Linked DNA regions of Caenorhabditis elegans. The protein of the gene in region 1 purifies or fractionates together with the protein of each later gene. This does not show direct contact. Each region holds a gene or a part of one and is shown on either strand. Other genes may lie near its edges.

The links.
Region 2: the proteins of T25B9.9 (region 1) and acox-3 fractionate together in Caenorhabditis elegans (co-fractionation; one large-scale study listed by BioGRID). This does not show direct contact.
Region 3: the proteins of T25B9.9 (region 1) and F08F8.7 fractionate together in Caenorhabditis elegans (co-fractionation; one large-scale study listed by BioGRID). This does not show direct contact.

What each region holds. Positions count from the first base shown.
Region 1 is NC_003282.8:10,767,363-10,773,318, forward strand, and holds the start of T25B9.9 (6-phosphogluconate dehydrogenase, decarboxylating), read left to right. Parts: upstream 1-2,290; 5' UTR 2,291-2,298; coding exon 2,299-2,628; intron 2,629-2,751; coding exon 2,752-2,821; intron 2,822-2,855; exon of another isoform or gene 2,856-2,950; coding exon of another isoform or gene 2,951-3,062; intron 3,063-3,424; coding exon of another isoform or gene 3,425-3,534; intron 3,535-3,581; coding exon of another isoform or gene 3,582-3,827; intron 3,828-3,873; coding exon of another isoform or gene 3,874-3,986; intron 3,987-4,048; coding exon of another isoform or gene 4,049-4,171; intron 4,172-4,219; coding exon of another isoform or gene 4,220-4,350; intron 4,351-4,398; coding exon of another isoform or gene 4,399-4,617; intron 4,618-4,665; coding exon of another isoform or gene 4,666-4,720; intron 4,721-4,784; coding exon of another isoform or gene 4,785-4,928; intron 4,929-4,998; coding exon of another isoform or gene 4,999-5,002; exon of another isoform or gene 5,003-5,385; intron 5,386-5,956. Other genes in the region: T25B9.8 (Lin-15A/B-like domain-containing protein), read right to left, coding at 1-469, 571-726, 774-797; inpp-1 (Inositol polyphosphate-related phosphatase domain-containing protein), read right to left, coding at 2,951-3,062, 3,425-3,534, 3,582-3,827, 3,874-3,986, 4,049-4,171, 4,220-4,350, 4,399-4,617, 4,666-4,720 and 1 more. UniProt on the Caenorhabditis elegans protein: Catalyzes the oxidative decarboxylation of 6-phosphogluconate to ribulose 5-phosphate and CO(2), with concomitant reduction of NADP to NADPH.
Region 2 is NC_003282.8:6,244,027-6,250,709, forward strand, and holds acox-3 (Acyl-coenzyme A oxidase acox-3), read right to left. Parts: upstream 4,467-6,683; 5' UTR 4,454-4,466; coding exon 4,355-4,453; intron 4,311-4,354; coding exon 4,179-4,310; intron 4,133-4,178; coding exon 3,965-4,132; intron 3,805-3,964; coding exon 3,663-3,804; intron 3,611-3,662; coding exon 3,289-3,610; intron 3,128-3,288; exon of another isoform or gene 3,107-3,127; intron 2,978-3,106; exon of another isoform or gene 2,956-2,977; intron 2,812-2,955; coding exon 2,711-2,811; intron 2,664-2,710; coding exon 2,567-2,663; intron 2,519-2,566; coding exon 2,345-2,518; intron 2,243-2,344; coding exon 2,128-2,242; intron 2,078-2,127; coding exon 1,536-2,077; intron 1,485-1,535; coding exon 1,373-1,484; 3' UTR 1,332-1,372; downstream 1-1,331. UniProt on the Caenorhabditis elegans protein: Involved in the first step of peroxisomal beta-oxidation by catalyzing the desaturation of fatty acid-derived side chains of ascaroside pheromones, which regulates development and behavior.
Region 3 is NC_003281.10:7,344,524-7,349,236, forward strand, and holds F08F8.7 (Ribulose-phosphate 3-epimerase), read right to left. Parts: upstream 2,627-4,713; 5' UTR 2,620-2,626; coding exon 2,522-2,619; intron 2,123-2,521; coding exon 1,823-2,122; intron 1,771-1,822; coding exon 1,683-1,770; intron 1,634-1,682; coding exon 1,436-1,633; 3' UTR 1,332-1,435; downstream 1-1,331. Other genes in the region: F08F8.6 (uncharacterized protein), read left to right, coding at 204-303, 349-441, 698-747, 796-858, 940-1,206, 1,257-1,301; gos-28 (Golgi SNAP receptor complex member 1), read right to left, coding at 3,078-3,202, 3,552-3,684, 3,736-3,820, 3,867-4,015, 4,059-4,168, 4,539-4,641.

The DNA of each region.
Region 1 (5,956 bases):
GGTTATTCATAATTTGACTCTCGCTGGTTGAATTTCCTGCATTTGAATTCTCCTGCATTTGAAGATCCTCTAATGAAGGTTTTGTTTCAATGGGGGCATCATCGTAATCTGATATTGGTTCTAATTTGATATCTTGTGAGTTCACATTTGGACTCGATTGTGCCATATCATTCGAATTTTCACTGTTCGCGTCAAATTCATTATCCATAGATGACTCCTCTTCCATTTCGTTTGGGAAAACCGACTGTTCATCAGATCGTCTTTCCCTGCCTACCGAAGTTTGACTCAATTGGAAACAATTTGAAAGGCTATTCGGCATGTATTCGTTGTTTGATTCTCGACATTCAAGAATATCAGTTTGCATCCATTGACGAACCATTTCGTGACGTTGTTTTTCTAAATTTTCGTATTCATCGGGGTTCATAAGCTCCCATCGTTTGAATGTATCGTATTTGTCGACATTCACTTTCTATAAAACTTTTAGATGAATATGTGTGGATATTTCTCTATTTTTATAGTATAACTTTAAAATAGTAAGTATTTGAAAAGCTCATTTTTGAAATTACTTACAATTAAGTCTGATGTTGTAGGCAAAACAATATCCGGTCTGATGAGCTCGAACATTGCTCGAAATTTTGGATGATTTACGATAGAAAATTCAATGTTTGTACTTCTCAGAAAATCAATCATCAACACGTTGAGCATTTTCTTCTGATAAGCTTGTTTCTGAAATTTGGATTTTTTATAAATACCTAGGAAACTCTAAAACTGACCTCTTCATTGCTGATGTTCTCCATTTAGTTTTATTATTTAGGTAAATTAATTGCATAAAAAAATAAAGTTGACAATCAATATGGTAAGAAACTCGCTCAACGCAGGGTCAGCAGCGACGCAGACAACGAGACAAAGGCAGTGTAGGCAGCGAAACGACGGCAGAGATGTGTTTTGTGAGAATATAGGAGAATGAGGACGTAAGGAGAAAAAAAATCGTTGAGTGAACGATGAACGCTCTTATTAAATTAAAAAAAAAGAAACTAAAAATTAATGTAGAGAATTCAGTTCGAATTACCGCCGTAGCCCAATAGAGCGAGTTTGCGGACCTCTCAAGAAAAAGTTTTTACCTTAAAAGATTAGTGTGTCAATTTCAATTTTAAGTTTTCCCGTGTTTCTTTGGATCTTATTCCTGCTTGCGCATGTTTACATAAATTAAATGTACTCTGATTCCCGTTTTACAATGCAATTTGTTCTCTGAACCTCCAATTTTCTCATCATATTCGACGCTTTCAATCCTGAGCGAAAACAAAACACCTCGAGAAGATCGAATTGTCATCGTTTCTTGTAAAATTTTGAAAAAAGGTGACAAAACCTCCGGCATTTTTTGTTTGCGTCGTAGCCTAAAAGTAACAAGAGTGCAGGGGAGAAAAAAAAGTAATTCAATGCCAAACACCACTTTGTTTTTTGTTCATTCGTCGGCATTCGTCGGCACTCGTTCTAAAAGAACAGAAACTTATTTTCTCCTATCATTGCGTTCAATTTTTGAATTCAGGAAATACTTGAATCCTTATCCTTGAAATATTTTGAAATTTTTCTTTTCGAAAACCTATTGAGGTCAATTTTCTAGAAAGATAACATCTCACAGAACTCCGAGTGTGGTCTACAAGATAGTCACAAATTTCCCCCAATCTCTTATTCACTGCAGAAATCTGTCTCCGTCTCTTTGCTTATCTGGTTTCCTCGTTTTTCTTTTTTCTGTGCACTTTCCGTCAACCAGTTCAGTTTTTCTAACTGTACCCAATTATTGTTATAATAATAATTACACGGCCTATAAACAAAACAAATCGCCTCCACTAGTCAATATATAAATAAGCGATGGAAGTTGAGTGGAGTAGGCCACAAAATAATGATGATGACATTGATTGTTTGTCCAAAAATGAAGTAAAGAGCGGGAGGCGCCTCCTCACAAAAAACTAATCAAAGTCGTCTCTCACGTTTTTACAACTTTCCCCGAATTATCCAAAAACGTTCACATCAAATTTATAAATTCTGAGTAATGAAAAAATCCTTTCTGGCATCACTTTTTTCGAAACATTATCATCATTGTTTCATTGATGTTTCCCGAAATTGAACCATTTTGATCAAAATTTCACACATGAGAATTGTTTTCTGAAATAAATTGGTCATTTACGCCATAAGAGACTTTTAAAAATCAATTTTGTAACCGCAATCTATATTTTTCTTCTCTCCGTCACTCTTAAAATCCTTTTTTTTAATTTTCAATGGCTTTTTCCAGAAATTAAAATGGCCGAAGCTGATATTGCCGTCATCGGATTGGCCGTTATGGGTCAAAATCTTATTCTGAACATGAATGATCACGGATTCACTGTTTGCGCCTTCAACAGAACTGTCAAATTGGTCGACGATTTTCTTGCCAATGAAGCTAAAGGAACTAAGATTATTGGAGCTCATTCAATTGAGGAAATGTGCAAGAAATTGAAAAGACCACGTCGTGTCATGATGCTCATTAAAGCCGGAACTCCTGTCGATATGATGATCGATGCAATTGTTCCGCATCTTGAGGAAGGTGATATTATCATTGATGGAGGAAATTCTGAATACACTGATTCAAACGTAAGTTTTTGTTTTTTTCTAAATATTTATTTATTTTATTCATTAGACTTTTCTCTCTAAAAATAAAATAAATATGTAATATAGTGAATCGATTGTGAACTGACAAACAACAATTATTTTCAGAGACGCTCCGAGCAACTCGCCGCAAAGGGGATCATGTTCGTCGGCTGTGGAGTTTCCGGAGGAGAAGAAGGTATGAATTTGTATTTTGAATTGTTTGCAAAGAGTTGAGGTATACGGTAATTTATTTAAAAATACAATAACAGGGATTTAATGACCAGATTAAACCAAATGTTTGGAAATATGCTTTTTTAGATTAATATTAGTTCACTGGTCCACTTGCATCCACCGAGTTGGTTTTCATTGATATTTCTCTTTCCAGCGACTTTTGTTGCTTGTAATGTTCAGGAACCGGCTTATTGATCACAGTTAGCCTAGAAAAATGATTAACCAGTAAATAGTGAACAATTAAAAGTAAGGTTAATTGGAAAAATGATTAAAAACCATTCCTATGATGCTAAAATGACCAAATATCAAAATAAAACTCTTCGCTAAATTAACATGAATATTTAAAACATAATTATAACATAAAACCAAAATAAATTTTTTGGTACACTACTTCCAAAAAAATTGGTGAAAACTGAGTTCGCACCGCTTTTTGACTCGAAATACAAAAATTTTACAAAATTTTTTGAATATATTTAATATTATTTTTGGTAATTTAAATACAATATTAATGGTTTTTAATCATTTTCCAATTAACCATACTCTATTGCTAGGTTTAAAAAAAGCTAACCAAAAAGTGGCAAAAACTGCCTTATGATCCGACGGTGTTGTTCCTCTCATACAATCGTACTGAATGTTTTGGAGCCATTCCGAGTTTCTTACCCAAAAGAGAACGCGGTCCTAAAATATTGAAGTCTTAGCAATGTTTGTAATCAGAAATTACTCACAGTAAAAGACGGAATCCTTTTTGGCACATAATTGTCTGTGTCTGGCTCGAATTTATGTGTTGGAGGGAATTTAATTGGAGCTTCCTTGAAATCTGTGAATGCTAATTGCTTTTTCCTATGACTGGCAAGCTCTTCTGTTTCAAAAACATCTCTAAATGTTTTCTCTGTAATCTTTTCCGGATCTCTCCAGTCTACATTGCTCTCTACAGTAACCCGGAAATTCAAATCTCCAATCCAAAGCACCACCTGAAAATGATTTATGGAGGAAGTGTCGCCCTTCAGAGGCGCTTACGTCAGAACCAAAAATTTCGTCTTTTGCATGTGCATGAAATCTGGCAAGCTGAGGAAAACGAAGAGTGCGGACCACTTTAGCGTAGTCTTGGATACGTTGTTGTGGTGTTGCATCTGTAAGAATATAACATTTTTGTGTTCTCATCATTAGTCTAACAATGTAAGGGACCACTCACGTGATAAATGACATCCGATAAGCACTATAAATCGCTGATATAAACGAAGACATACCGCGATTGCACCTTTCGTTCGAACTGGTTTTGCCATTGCACCAGATGCGATAAATGATACTTGTGGTTCTAGAAATTTTAAACTATTAGATTCTAGATTATAAGATCTGAACTCACGGATTGCATATCGAAGATGTTTCTGTCGAATGAAGACTATTACCATTTGACTCCAGGCTCTATGTGAAAGGTACAGACGATGACCATTGAGAACTGGCTCAAGAATTCGTAATGCTTCTTCATGAAAAGTTCTGAAACTGATTTTAGTTAATCGAAAATTAATAGTTTTCGGAACTAACGGTGCTGTGGAAGGTATTTCTTGCAATGAGATGAAAAATATATCACTATCCATTTCTTGTCCTCGTTCTGCTATTTTCTGAGCGAGATGGCTCAATATTTTCACACCTTTTTCGTTAATGTTCCATGTCACGGTACATACTTTCAGTTTTCTATCACCCATAGCTTCAATAACGTCGTAACTGACAATTGGAACATTCCCAAATCCTTTTACAGCAGGGCTAAATATCATATGTTCAATGAATGATGAAAAAAAAGTAATCACTTACGCAGTATTTTGCGTTTCAATGCAGTATGTCCAATTGCCGTCACTGATCTCGTTGACTGAAATGAAGTGTAATGGGTGTCAGAACAATAGGATTAAGTCGGGGAAGGATTAGAGGCTTACATGAGGCGCTGTTACGCCACGTGGCAGGTTGAGAGGAAGAACGGAGCCATGGAGGGTGTCGAGTAGGAGTTTGATGTGATTGCTTCTCACTTGAAGAATCTCCTGATTTTGGATCACCTCCAGATGCAGAGGGAGTGTTGGCATCTAAAAGAAATTGATACGTCCAAATAAATGTAGAATACTAGATTTCAACTCAAATGTTTCTCAGTCTTACCCATTTACTGTATGAATTAAATAACTTGGCTTATTGCTTCGTTTCAACCAACTAAGCTTCGAAATGCATATTGAAAATAGAGAACATAAATCCAATAGCGACGGACTCTATCAGAGGCTTCAAGTATAGGAACGGGAGGGAAGAGCGCGCACTTTTGTATGTCAGAAAGCCCGCGTTTTTCGTGTGCAATTCGCTCGTTTTTGTCCGATGATAAAATGACGAACAAGTATAACGGACGACTCTGGTGTTGGTGGTGCTATATAATGTTATGTAGATTTCGGTGTGCAAAGGGAAATGGGCAAGTGCAGAGATGAATGGGGACAGGAGAAAAGTTTGGAGACGCAGGACGAACGAGTGAGACGGGCGTGAGAGAAGAAGTATTTGAATGGGTGCCCATGGAAAAGCATTCAGAAGGCGAAGCAACAGGAAAACTTGTGTTGCTAGGTTTCCGATTACATGCCAAGTGGAAATTTTAGAAAAGAGTCTGGGTCGCCACTGGAGAAAAGAGTCTGGGTCGCCATATGCTTCCTTATTTTTTAAGAAAACCAAGAGAAATGAAAAGAAACGACAAAATTAAACACATGAATCTAGATCTTCTCGAGCTATAATTATTCTCCCTCACTAGAAATAAAAATAAAATACAATTAGAAGAACTTGAAAACTCGTTGTAATATGATAATTCCAAGTATCTTTCTTTGTTTCTTCTGCTTTTTCGAGTTTTTTCAATGATAAAATTTGCTAAATTTTGCCTACTTTTCCAGCAACGGTAATTATGTTATCTTTTGGCGAATGTTATTTGAAAATAGTGTTATGAGAAAATATGAAATACATATGACTTCCAGACTTCAATCAAAAATAAGAATTCTTGTGTATATACGAAAGTATTTTTGAAACTTCTCGAAAATTTCACACTTGCTATTTTATTTTTGATAATATTAGGTTTAGCAGAACATGTAAT
Region 2 (6,683 bases), 4.5 Mb from region 1:
TGTGGACCACTAACAACAGCCGCTGAAACTGCTGCATCTGTTTCTAACTCAACATATAATTGTTGTCCAATTGGAGGAATTTGGAGCTCTTTTTCCAGTTACGGAAGAAATGATGGCGATACAATGTGGATTAGAACGCGAAGATGTTTATCAGAAAGTGCTGGTTGTAATTGTACAGGAAATAATACTGAATCTACAACAACTTGTCCGTGTAGAGCAATGACATCAATTGAATCAGGGTTAGAAAAACTTTCAATCAGTTTCACATGTGAAATGGGTTCTTTATACTGGAAATATGATTACAATGGAGATTATATTAACGGATGGTATCAAATGATTATTGTTTGAAATTTGATAAAAATTTGTGTTATTCTATTTTTAAAATCTCGAAACAAAAAATTTTCAAAGCATTTTGCACCTACAAATTAAAAAAAACTTTTTACCGTTTCCCATTGATGGTATAACACTTTTTTGAAATCACGCAACATTGGTATACGGAGCTTCAGTTGTGTTCGAGCTTTTACAGCCTTTCTGAGCCTTTGTAGAGTTTCCTGAAGTTATTCGCACGCAATACAAAGTTGACATTGGAGAATCAGACGGACGAGTTCTGAAAAACTTTAAGTTTTGAAAATTGTATTTTTGAAATTATTTGTCATCGTGCGAAGAATTTCAAACGGAAGACCTTTTTGATGCACAACCCTTTCAAGCCAATTAGCAAATTAATGAGAGTTGATAAATTTATAAATTCTCCAGATATGTGAAATGGATTCTTTATCACGTGGAGAATAGAAATTAAAAATAAAAGTCGTGAGCGAGTTAATCTTTGTATTCATCGACTTCGCGACAACATTGATACAATAATATTGTGAGAACAGTTTTTAAAGTAAAATTAGAAATTGGCGTGGAAATAAATTAAATTTTGGTGTTATTTCATATAAATATTATTTTATAAATACATTGTGAAAGTTCTACAATGATTTTTGGCACTTAATAAATAGTTTTAAACATTTTCCCCGTGGGCGCTATCACTATTTTAAATTTTCCCCGTTTCACATTAATCATATAAATTCATTTAAACTAACGCAACATTATCGTTTTGGTTCTAAATGAGAAACTATTTTCCAGTGTTAGAAGCCTTTTAAGCATTTCCTGACATCCGGGTACCAAAGTTTTAATAAATTTTTTCAATTAAACATTTAAAAAATTTTGCCGTTTCACGTCGACGATATGTATAAATCTGAAAACTTTGCTTATACGTTTAGATTTTTATTTTTTGCAAAAATTTTAGCTTTCAAAGAAATTTGAAATTGTTTGTATATTTTGAATTTATTCAAAAACTGGATTTATTGGGAAATATACAGTTTGTGAAATATTATAGCTTGGATCCTTGTGATCTCTTTTGCAAAAACTGAGCCAAATCGCAAACCCATCTTGGTTGTTCATTTGTATACTTCCGGAATTCTTCCATTATATGCTCGTACGCTCTGAAAATCAAATTTAAAGTTCAGCAGAAACCTTTACATTTTAAAACTGACTTTCCATCAGATGCTCCCAGAGCTGAATGTAAAATGAAATCATCTGGAGCAATCGAGTCCACTAAAGCAATGGCCTCGGGTTTTAATTCGGCTACAGCGAGTCTAAGCTTCTCTCGAAGATCTTCTCCAAACTTTCCACCAGAAGCATATCCAGTAATATAAAGAGTTGCAAGATGTCTTTCCAAAAGGAAAAGTGAGAAAAGATTCAAAACTTTTTGAAGAACCGGCTTCACACTTTGATCTTCAATTTCTTTCAAGAACTGTTGAACCCAATGGATCATTGTATGTTCTGTGTATGCAACAGACAAATTGACAGCTCTATGAATTTGAATTTCATTTCGAACTTCGAATGAATTCTTTCCAGATGCTTTTAGTCTGTAAGCTTCTGCCGAAGTTGTTTGAAGTAAGTGATAAGTGAGATATCGGTACGCAGACAACACGTCATTAACTGGATTCGAAGACCATGATGAGAACTTTGAAGGTTTTTGATTCAAGAATGACATAGTAGACATCGGGGTCTCAATGGATCCAATTGATTGAGCCTGAACATCAGAATCTCAATATGATTAAAGAATCTGACAATTAAGTTTACTTTTCCTAGCAAAATATTGCTGGTTTGTTGCAAAATCATAAAGTTTTCTCCTTCAAATGTTTGTGATGGATCGTTGTCATCTCGGAGGGTGTTCAATCGTGACATTTGTAGGTATCTGTAATTTAAATTTTAACTTTAATCTGGAAAAAATAGAAAGACGAATTCTCAAAAAATGAGTTTCTTAAAGTTAAGTTTCAGGTTATGTTAGGAAACATACCCATGACCTCCACAAGCTTTTCTAGCTTCTCCAAGGGATTCTACACCAAGCCACGTTGCAACCGGTTTAGCTCCAGACGACAATGCATGTACTTCTTTTGAGAACTCGGAGAGCTCGTCTGACTTTTCTCCCATTATGACTCTCATCATATATTCAGTGAAATGTCCGACAAACCTATAAAGTTTAACTAATTATTGAAAACAATTTGTTTAGAGTTCCCACTTCTTCTGGAATATTCTAATGCAAATTGCAGCGGATAGGTACGGGAATAGACGATACTGTTGAAGTGGATACTCGAGAACTGGGATCTCATTTTCAGCTGAATTATACAAAAGTTGAGAAATTGAGAAAAGGAATGGTGCTCACCGCCTTTTACTGGTCCAAACTGTCGCCGAGCAACACTGTATCGAATAGCAATTGTAGATGCAAAAGTGCAAGCCATCATTCCTTTTGCGATAATTCCGAGTCTGAAATTTGTGTTATTGTGAAACCATTGTTGGTAAAGTTTGAATTTTGAAACAGTATTTTGTTTGAAAAAAATCAATCGGAAAAACTTATAGATTGCACTGTTTTCCCAACTTTATGAATTCGTCTGCTTTTACAATTTCGAATTGTCCTAAGAATGCCATTTCCATTATTTCTATTTGTATTAAATACAATGGCTTCACTCTAGAAAATCAATTCATATTTTAAAAGTATCGATTAAAGCTGGAATAGATTCGTTTTGAGATTTTGCTTTTATTGATAATAAGGCTCGGCCGTGAAATTTGCATCTTGTATCTACTAAAACTGAGAAAAAAACAACACATTTAAAAAGTTGGTAAAACAGCGGCTAGAAATTCTTCAGAACCTGATTTTTTTAACAGAAATTCTTTTAGATACAAATTTCACTCAATTAAAAAATTTTTCTATACGGCCGGCGTCGTAAAGTATTGAAAACATACCTTCCAACTGACAATGTTCCCAAACTGACACTCTGCTTCTCACTTGCAGATTTGAAACTTGTCACATATTTTCCATCCGGAGTAATATCACAACCCTTATTCAAAAGTGCACTCAGAGGAGCTCTATGGTTCTTAAACTCCATCCAGCCATTTTCTACTCCCTGCCAGCATCCTGGTTTCGAGCCCATGTCTCCAATGGTAATTCCTGGTAGAGTTTGGAAAGTTCTAGGGCAACGAACTTGAATCACAAATCCATGAAATCCCTCGTTCTTTCCTTCGACATGAAGTTGAGCATAAACAACTACGTGAGTGGCCGAGTGAGCTAAAAAAATGGATTTTTTTAAATTTAAAATTAAAAATGTTTTAAAACCCACCGAGATTTCCAGCCCAACATTTGATTGCACTGACACTTGGAGTATTGAAAACAAGTTCTCCATTGTCAAATGTAGCTGTTGTTTGAATTTCAGCAGTGTTTGAACCATGGCCTACTTCTGTCAGACAAAATGCTCCGACGATCTGAAATTTGCTATTTTGCAAGGAAACCTAAACTTTCCAGATTTGAATACAATGCGCTTTTGTTTAAATTTCTTTAGAATAAATTATTTTCAAATTTGTTTTGATTTTTCTTTTTCTTGAGTACTTCTTAATTTTGTATGCTATTTTCTTTGAAATTCACCTCATTGTTTTCAGTTTTCTGAATCAAATCCTTATGTCTATCTGTTCCCATTGACTTAACAGCTGCTCCAAAAACATTTCCGTGGAGGAAAAGCCTTGCAGATGTGCCTTGATCATAAGCTTCAAGAGTTTCAGTCAATGCATGGAAGTTTTCAAGATCGGAGTACGGCTGAATATTCGAATATATTGAAAATCTACAATTTAATAAGAAATACATCTTTGAACAACCCCCATTCGACAATTTTCTTCCATCTCTGATGAACAACTTCTCTTTGCTCTTCTCTACTCAATACTCGATAATCTCTGTGAAATACTGGTTCTGACTTCATTTTAGCAACTACTTCTGACTGAAATATATATAAATATTTTATAAATCCAAAATCTACTATACCTTCAGTCTAACATGTTCTTCTCCTTCAACGGCTGCTTTCAATTTTTTCCAGTCGAAAGTTGCCATTTTCCGGTATTTGTCAATTAAAGGAGCACTCATTTTTGATCTGAAACTGAAAAATTTACTAAATAAATCCTTTAAATTCAAAAGATTCATTTTATTTTCAGCAGAATATATGTTAAAATAAACTGAACAAAATTAAGACAAAAGCAATTGCATATGTACTGGGTAGGAAGAGTGTAGTCTTATCAAAAACAAAGAAAATAGAAAGTAATTGAGAGACGCAGAGATCGAAGACAGTCTGACTACAGCGTGGTGGTATTGTATAAATAGGGGGAGGAATGGTCTTTTAAAATTATCGTAGTAGATTGTAATTAGCTGGTGTTTGTAAAAAGGGTCAGAGGAAATTAACTGAAATTTTACAGAAAATTCATGTTTCCTTGTTTTAAAGTGGGCTCGGAGAGAGAATGTGGACAAGTAAATAGTTTAAAACAACGTAGTGGATAATAAAAAATTTAGTATTATTTCCATAAGTGTAAAACATGTTTTTAAATAAAAATACGCTAAAAAATTTCTAAATACAGTTTTGGCGAAAGTGGGGGTAACACATTTCCAGGAGCGTACTGGTCAAAATAAAAATTAAATTAAATTAAAATTAAATTAAAAATTATTAGCACTTTAACTTCAATATTTCATACTTTTACAATATTTTCCAACATTTTTGCAGTTTAGACTTTGATGTAAACATTTTTAGCGGTTTCATAGTTTTCCCGAAATCAATTTTGGCTGAACTACCAAAACTTGAAATTACTGATAATAATAATAGGTTTGCTCTGACTTGAGCAATTATATTAGGTGTCCGATAAAACCTACTCATCAATTTTGTGGAATTTGGAAAAAAATGTGATTGCCAACTTTGTGATTTTGTTGAAAACCTCAATAGAGAGTTTGCTTTTTCTTCGAATTACTAGATGCGTTTCACTATTTTATAAGTTAAAATAAGTGGAACCACAAAGTTCAGGCAATATTTTTCTATCATTACTAACATTAACAAGAAGAGATTAGTTTAATTCATGATCAAGACTGTTTTTACGAGATCTTTTTTTCAGCTGAAGTTTCAATATCAAAACAGAGAAAATGCCTCTGTTCATATAGTATTCGTGAAACAGCATAATAATTTTTTTGTTTAATTTAAATTTGAACACAAGAGTTGGCCAATTGAAGCATGATTGAAATACAATTAAAACTATTTATTTTCCATCTTTTTTCATAATTTCATAATCTTATTTCCCTCTTCTCAAACAAGTCTTTCGTTTCATGATCTTGGCATAAAGAAGAGCTTGAAAACATTTCTAATCCTTTTTTCCTTTTTTGCTAATCTCTCAAAACCTCCTACATTTCAATAATCTCTAGCTCTAACGTCACACATTCTGAGCTTTTGAGAGAGTCAGAGAAGCCACAAACCCGCCCATTTTCTGAAGAAGAAATCACTCATTCTGCCTTCTTCGACTGCTTGGTGGCGGTCCTATCTTCTTTTATGCAATATATCATACTATGTTATTTTTCTGTTATTTTATTGCTTAAACATCAAGCAATTAGAGTAAGTTAGTAGTATAGTGGGAATAGTTGTGCAAAAGACTTAAAGTTGCGCATTTTTGCAAATTTCTCGGTTGGTCCCCCGTTTTAGAATAATTGAGGAATTTCACTGAAAACCGTGTGTGCCTATTAATTATTGCTTCATGTGTGCCAATGTTGCGAATAAGTTTCTGGCATTAATTAGTGTATAAAACGTTGAAATGTGTGGATCGTAAAGTTGTGCATTGAAAACGGGGATCCGAGTTGTGACCGGAAAACTAGTCGATCTGAAATTTCACACTACACATTAATTCACAATTAGCTTTTCACAACTCGTCAAACTATGCGTACAAGAGCTATTTTGAACACGTTTTAATGTACGGGAAGGAAATTCAAAACTCCACTCTAACCGCGGCCGGTTTCTATCATGACCCTGTGATTGGCGACCACCGTAGTCCTGGGTTTCAACAGCGTTGTGCCTCAATTTACAACCAGGACGAAATACAAGTTGCGGCAAACATTTCGATTGACTTGATGAATCAGCCGCGAGTGCTCTTGAACGGTTGTAATGTGAAACTTACAGTTTACCCAAATGATAGTAAATTTTTGATTGAGGTTTACAATCGCGACAACAACACAGAGTTTCAGTTCAAAATAACCGACGTTTACGCTCTGGTTAACGAATTCGATCTTGCCGACGGTCTATCTAATGCTCTAGAGAGCTCCATTATTGAGCACAAAATAATCCAATATC
Region 3 (4,713 bases), on another chromosome or scaffold:
AAGAGTCTCTGAAGTACTATCACGACTCTCAAGTCAAATGATGAAAAACTAACGAATAAACTGTAGTTTCGAACTTCTATAATGTTCCGATACAAAAATAAACATTCGATAAGGTTATTTTTAGAAAAAATTGGTTTTGGTCAATGCCCCAAATTATGATAGAAAAGTTTTCATAAAAAGTTATTTAATTTTACTAGTTTCAGGCGTTGCAAATTCTCCTTCCAATCGAAATCTGCAAACAAATCTGTCATCCTAATCATTTGGGTTCTGTCAATGTGAACTACTCGACAAATGGACAAAAACGTATGTCTTTCTCTGTATCTGTCTCTCCAAAATTCATTATTTCAGAGGAAACAAAACCAGGAAAAAAAGATAATCGATATCCAGAAGATGTCACATTTCCACCATCTGATATTGAACGTGTTTATGACACGATGGGAGGTAAGAATCAGAACTCGGTTATTGTTTAGTTGCCATACGCTCCAATTTTCGGCAACCAGCAACTTGGTTGCCCTGGTGGTCAGATAGACAGGGAGTAGGTATTGAGGGGGGTTGTGCAAGTCGGCAAAGCCGTAAGATGTAGGGATGAGGTGGACACGTACGCAGGCAGGTGTGAAGTAAGTATTAGGTAGGCAGAAGGAAAGGGACTGGTGAAGTGTCTGTCTATTTCTTGCAAATAATCGAAATCAATTTTCAGATGAAGATACTCGTAAATCGAAGACTATGACACTTGGAACTATTGAAGAGGTTTGTATGTTCACTCGAGTGTTTTCATTCATTTCAATCAATTTTCAGCCTGCTCCAAAATCGGCCATGCTCAGCTTACAGAAGACACCAAAGGAGAGTGAGACTGATCTGGTTCGTTTTTTATTTTTCGAAATATTTTTTAGCTTTTGTAGTACTCCAAGATCTTGAGCAAAAGTACAACCAATTTTTCAGAAAAAGACATTGCCACGTTCTCCTCCTCCAATTCCGAATCGTAAGCAGCCGTCTCGTGAGATCATGTTGACTCCGAAGCAATCTACAAAGACTGCAAATGCTGGAGGAAGAAGCAAGGAGCCGTCGTTGAATACTGCAATGAGCCAAGAGGCAGGAAATATCGAACCACGAAAGACTCCGAGTAAAGATACAATTGGAAGTACTGGAGTATTGCCATCAAATCAGGATAAGAAGACTCCGAGCAAGGAGAAGGAAAGTGTTAAAAATGTAAGCAACTGAAGAATGGTCCATGATGTTTTGTAATGCTCTTTTTTCAGACACCTGCTCCGACCCCGAAGCTAGGAACTGCAGAGCCCATCTGAACTTTATAGATAAATAAATGCTGCTTTGAATTTTTTAATTGACAATCATTTACTAACTATTAACATCACAACCTCAAAAAGCTCTGAAAAAATGAGCTTCAAAATTCAAAACAATATTCAAGTAATTAAGAAAATCAGCACTTCGAAATAGCAGCTTCAACTGCATTTCTGATTGTTGTCATGGCGACAGATTGATCTGCAGCTTTGATGATTCCAGTTCCACTCACGATCGCATTGGCTCCAGCTTGAGCAGAGATTTCAATATTTTCAGGTGTTACTCCTCCGTCAACTTGAATAGTCAGATTTGGATATTTTGAACGGATTGTGCGAACCTGAAAGCCATAAATTTTATTCGTATCAAATAAAAACCAAAATAAATACCTTTTCCATCATGTTTTCCATGAACTTTTGTCCTCCAAATCCTGGTTCCACAGTCATGATAAGAGCATTATCCAAATGATTAGCATGTCTAAAAAGTTTTTTAATTTAAAATCTAGATTGAAATATAATTTTGATTTTACTTCAAAATATGCTCAACAGAAGTTCCCGGTTTGACCGATAATCCCACTTTCATTCCACTTTTTCTGATTTTTTCGATCAATTCACTGACTGCCACATCACCATCTACAGCCTCATAATGGAATGTGAACTGGCTGGCACCAGCTTTTGCCATCGGTTCAACCCACTGTCCAGGATTAGAGACCATCAAATGAACATCGAAGAATGGTTCAGCACCAAGAGATTTACGAAGAGATTCAACGACAGGGTGACCGAATGTGAGGTTTGGTACAAAGTGACCGTCCATCACGTCGAGGTGAAGCCTGCAAGTTGGGAGCTGGATACTATGGGAACGCAGAAAGTAAATCCTTTGAAAATCCAAGTGGAAACGTTACTTACTTACTGCTAAATGAAAACGCTCCGCCCCTCGAACCATGGGTCTCATTAGGTATTGACATTGATAGTTTAAGCGTTTTCAATTAGTCCTGCCAATTTGTGTTTGAAGATGAAAACAATTTCAATTTGCGATTTTGTGGCCAAATACCTAACGAGACCGTAATCTCGGGGGGTCGGAGCGTTTCCAATTGGCCGTGGAGTACGTTTCCATGTTGATTTCAGAAGAGGTTTTTGTGCGTTCCCATTTAGATTTTTGAAATCTAAAGGGACATTTAAATATGAAAGTAGTTGTCAAAACTATTCAGAATTTCTAAAGATCACCTTACCAATCTGCTCCAGCTGCTAAAAGTTTCTTGCATTCAGAAGCCAATGATGCAAGATCGGCATTCAGAATTGATGGACACACAAATGGACGGAGGGTCATCTGAATTCTAGATAAATAAATTTTATCATCCAGAATCAATGAACAAATAAAGTTATAGAATTAAACTTTCAACTGTAAACTTTCAAAAAAATCTTTAAATAATACTTTAATTCATAAATATGTATACCCAATTGTTTCACATCGAGAAAAAAACGAAAAAGCCAAGAACTCCATTATACTCGAAAGATTACAAAACGAGAAAATTATTTACAAGTAAAAATTAGAAAAACGGTGAGGAATATCACAATGAAAGTGGTGTGCGTTGTATGAAGGGACAAGGGAATAGTACAAAAATCGATTATTCTTATCATTCAGTTTCTATTTTTCATTGACACAAAGTAATAACAACTCGAAAACTTGATAAAAAGTTACGACTGCCGATTGTTAAATTTCTTCGAAAAATACGAAAATCGGAGTTCGAAAAAGTTTTTGAGTTTTTTTTTGATATTTGAAACTGATTAATTGATAATCCAGAAAATTGTAAAAATAAGGCACGATGAGATGACGGCAGCAAGGATCAGTGTGTTCTTCTGCTTTTTCGTTTTGATTTTTTGCATCAAATTGTTAATTGCAGGATATTTTTCTAAAAAAAGTTGTTTTGATAATTATTATGCAGCTTGTAAAACTGTTTTTCAAAAATGTTGAGTCTCAGTTGAAAGGAGGAATTTTTTTTTGAAATTTTTTCGGCTTTTTGGAGAAATTCTAACTTTTGTTTTTCGGTCCAAATTTCAAATAAATTTTTTGTTGTTTTTTTTTAAAGATTTTTTGTCAAAAAACTGTATTGCAAGAAATTTGAACTCAAGTTTATTAGGTCTAAATTAATCTAGATTGACGATTTCAAAAAAGATCGGGTGTTTCAGGAACATTTTTATCAGAAATGTTCATAAATACTTAGATTTACTTTAATTGTTTCCCTTTTAAAGATAAATTACTTGAAATATGATGAAGCCGAGTTGATATTCCACGTAGATTAATTCCCTGTCTGGCCATATTCTCTTTCGTTGACATTGCCATTTCTAACTGTTCATCTAACAATCGATCACAAGCGTTTATATGGTCATTCTCCTGAAATTAAATTAATTAGTACTACTTTCTTGAAATTCTTCCCAAAAATACCTTCAAATACATATCATATCCACGAGCCCTGTTGTTCAGTATAGGATTATTACGATTTTCATTTGAACTGCTCAACAAGAGTTCTCTGAATAATATCGTATTGTTTAATTTAAAAAAAGTATTTTTCATACCTCTGTAATACCTGATCAACATTATCTCTTGCACGTCGATACTCACTACCGTAATCTCGAAGAATTTCTCGATGTCGTCGAAGTGTGTGTTGAATGGCTGGATTATTAGCCCAAGATGCCGAGGATTGAGCACCAGCTACGTCATTCATCTGAAGTTGACGAATTTAAAAACAAAATTGAAAATAAACTAACATCATCATTGATATTTGTCAATTGCTCTATCAATCCTTCGATTTCTGTTGTCACTGTTTTGAAGCTCGTTTGTCTTGAGGAAACTGTTTTCTCGTCGATGTCAAAACCGCCTGAAATATTTTTTCAATAGGAAACATGTTTATTAAATATTTTTCTGAGAGACATGTTCGAAAGTTGGTTATTCAAACGCCAAAAATACTGTACCCGGTCTCGACACGAAAATGTTCTTTATAAATGCCCTTTTTGGTTTTTTCATTAGTTTCTTTTTCTTTTTTAAAGTTTTTTTTTCAGAATATATAATATTTGGGTTTTTCAAATAAATACATATATTTTTTTTGAAACTTCCGCATCAACACAATTCAGAAAGTGCAGTACTCTTCAAAGGCGCACACTTTTTTGTATTTTATGAAAATGTTTCGTGTCAAGACCCGGTATCGTATTTTCTGAGGATAAAATCGTAAAATTCTTGGTAATACTTACCATGAGAGCTAGCCGTTAATTTATTCAGGGAGACGAGCTTGACATCGATGGAATTTTCTGTGCTTCGGGCTTTCTTCCGCAACGCTTCCCAAGTTTCTGACATTCTGTGTTCCTGAAAGTATTGTTTTTTCGAGTGACTGAAATGTTGGTCACTACTATGAGAAATAAATATATT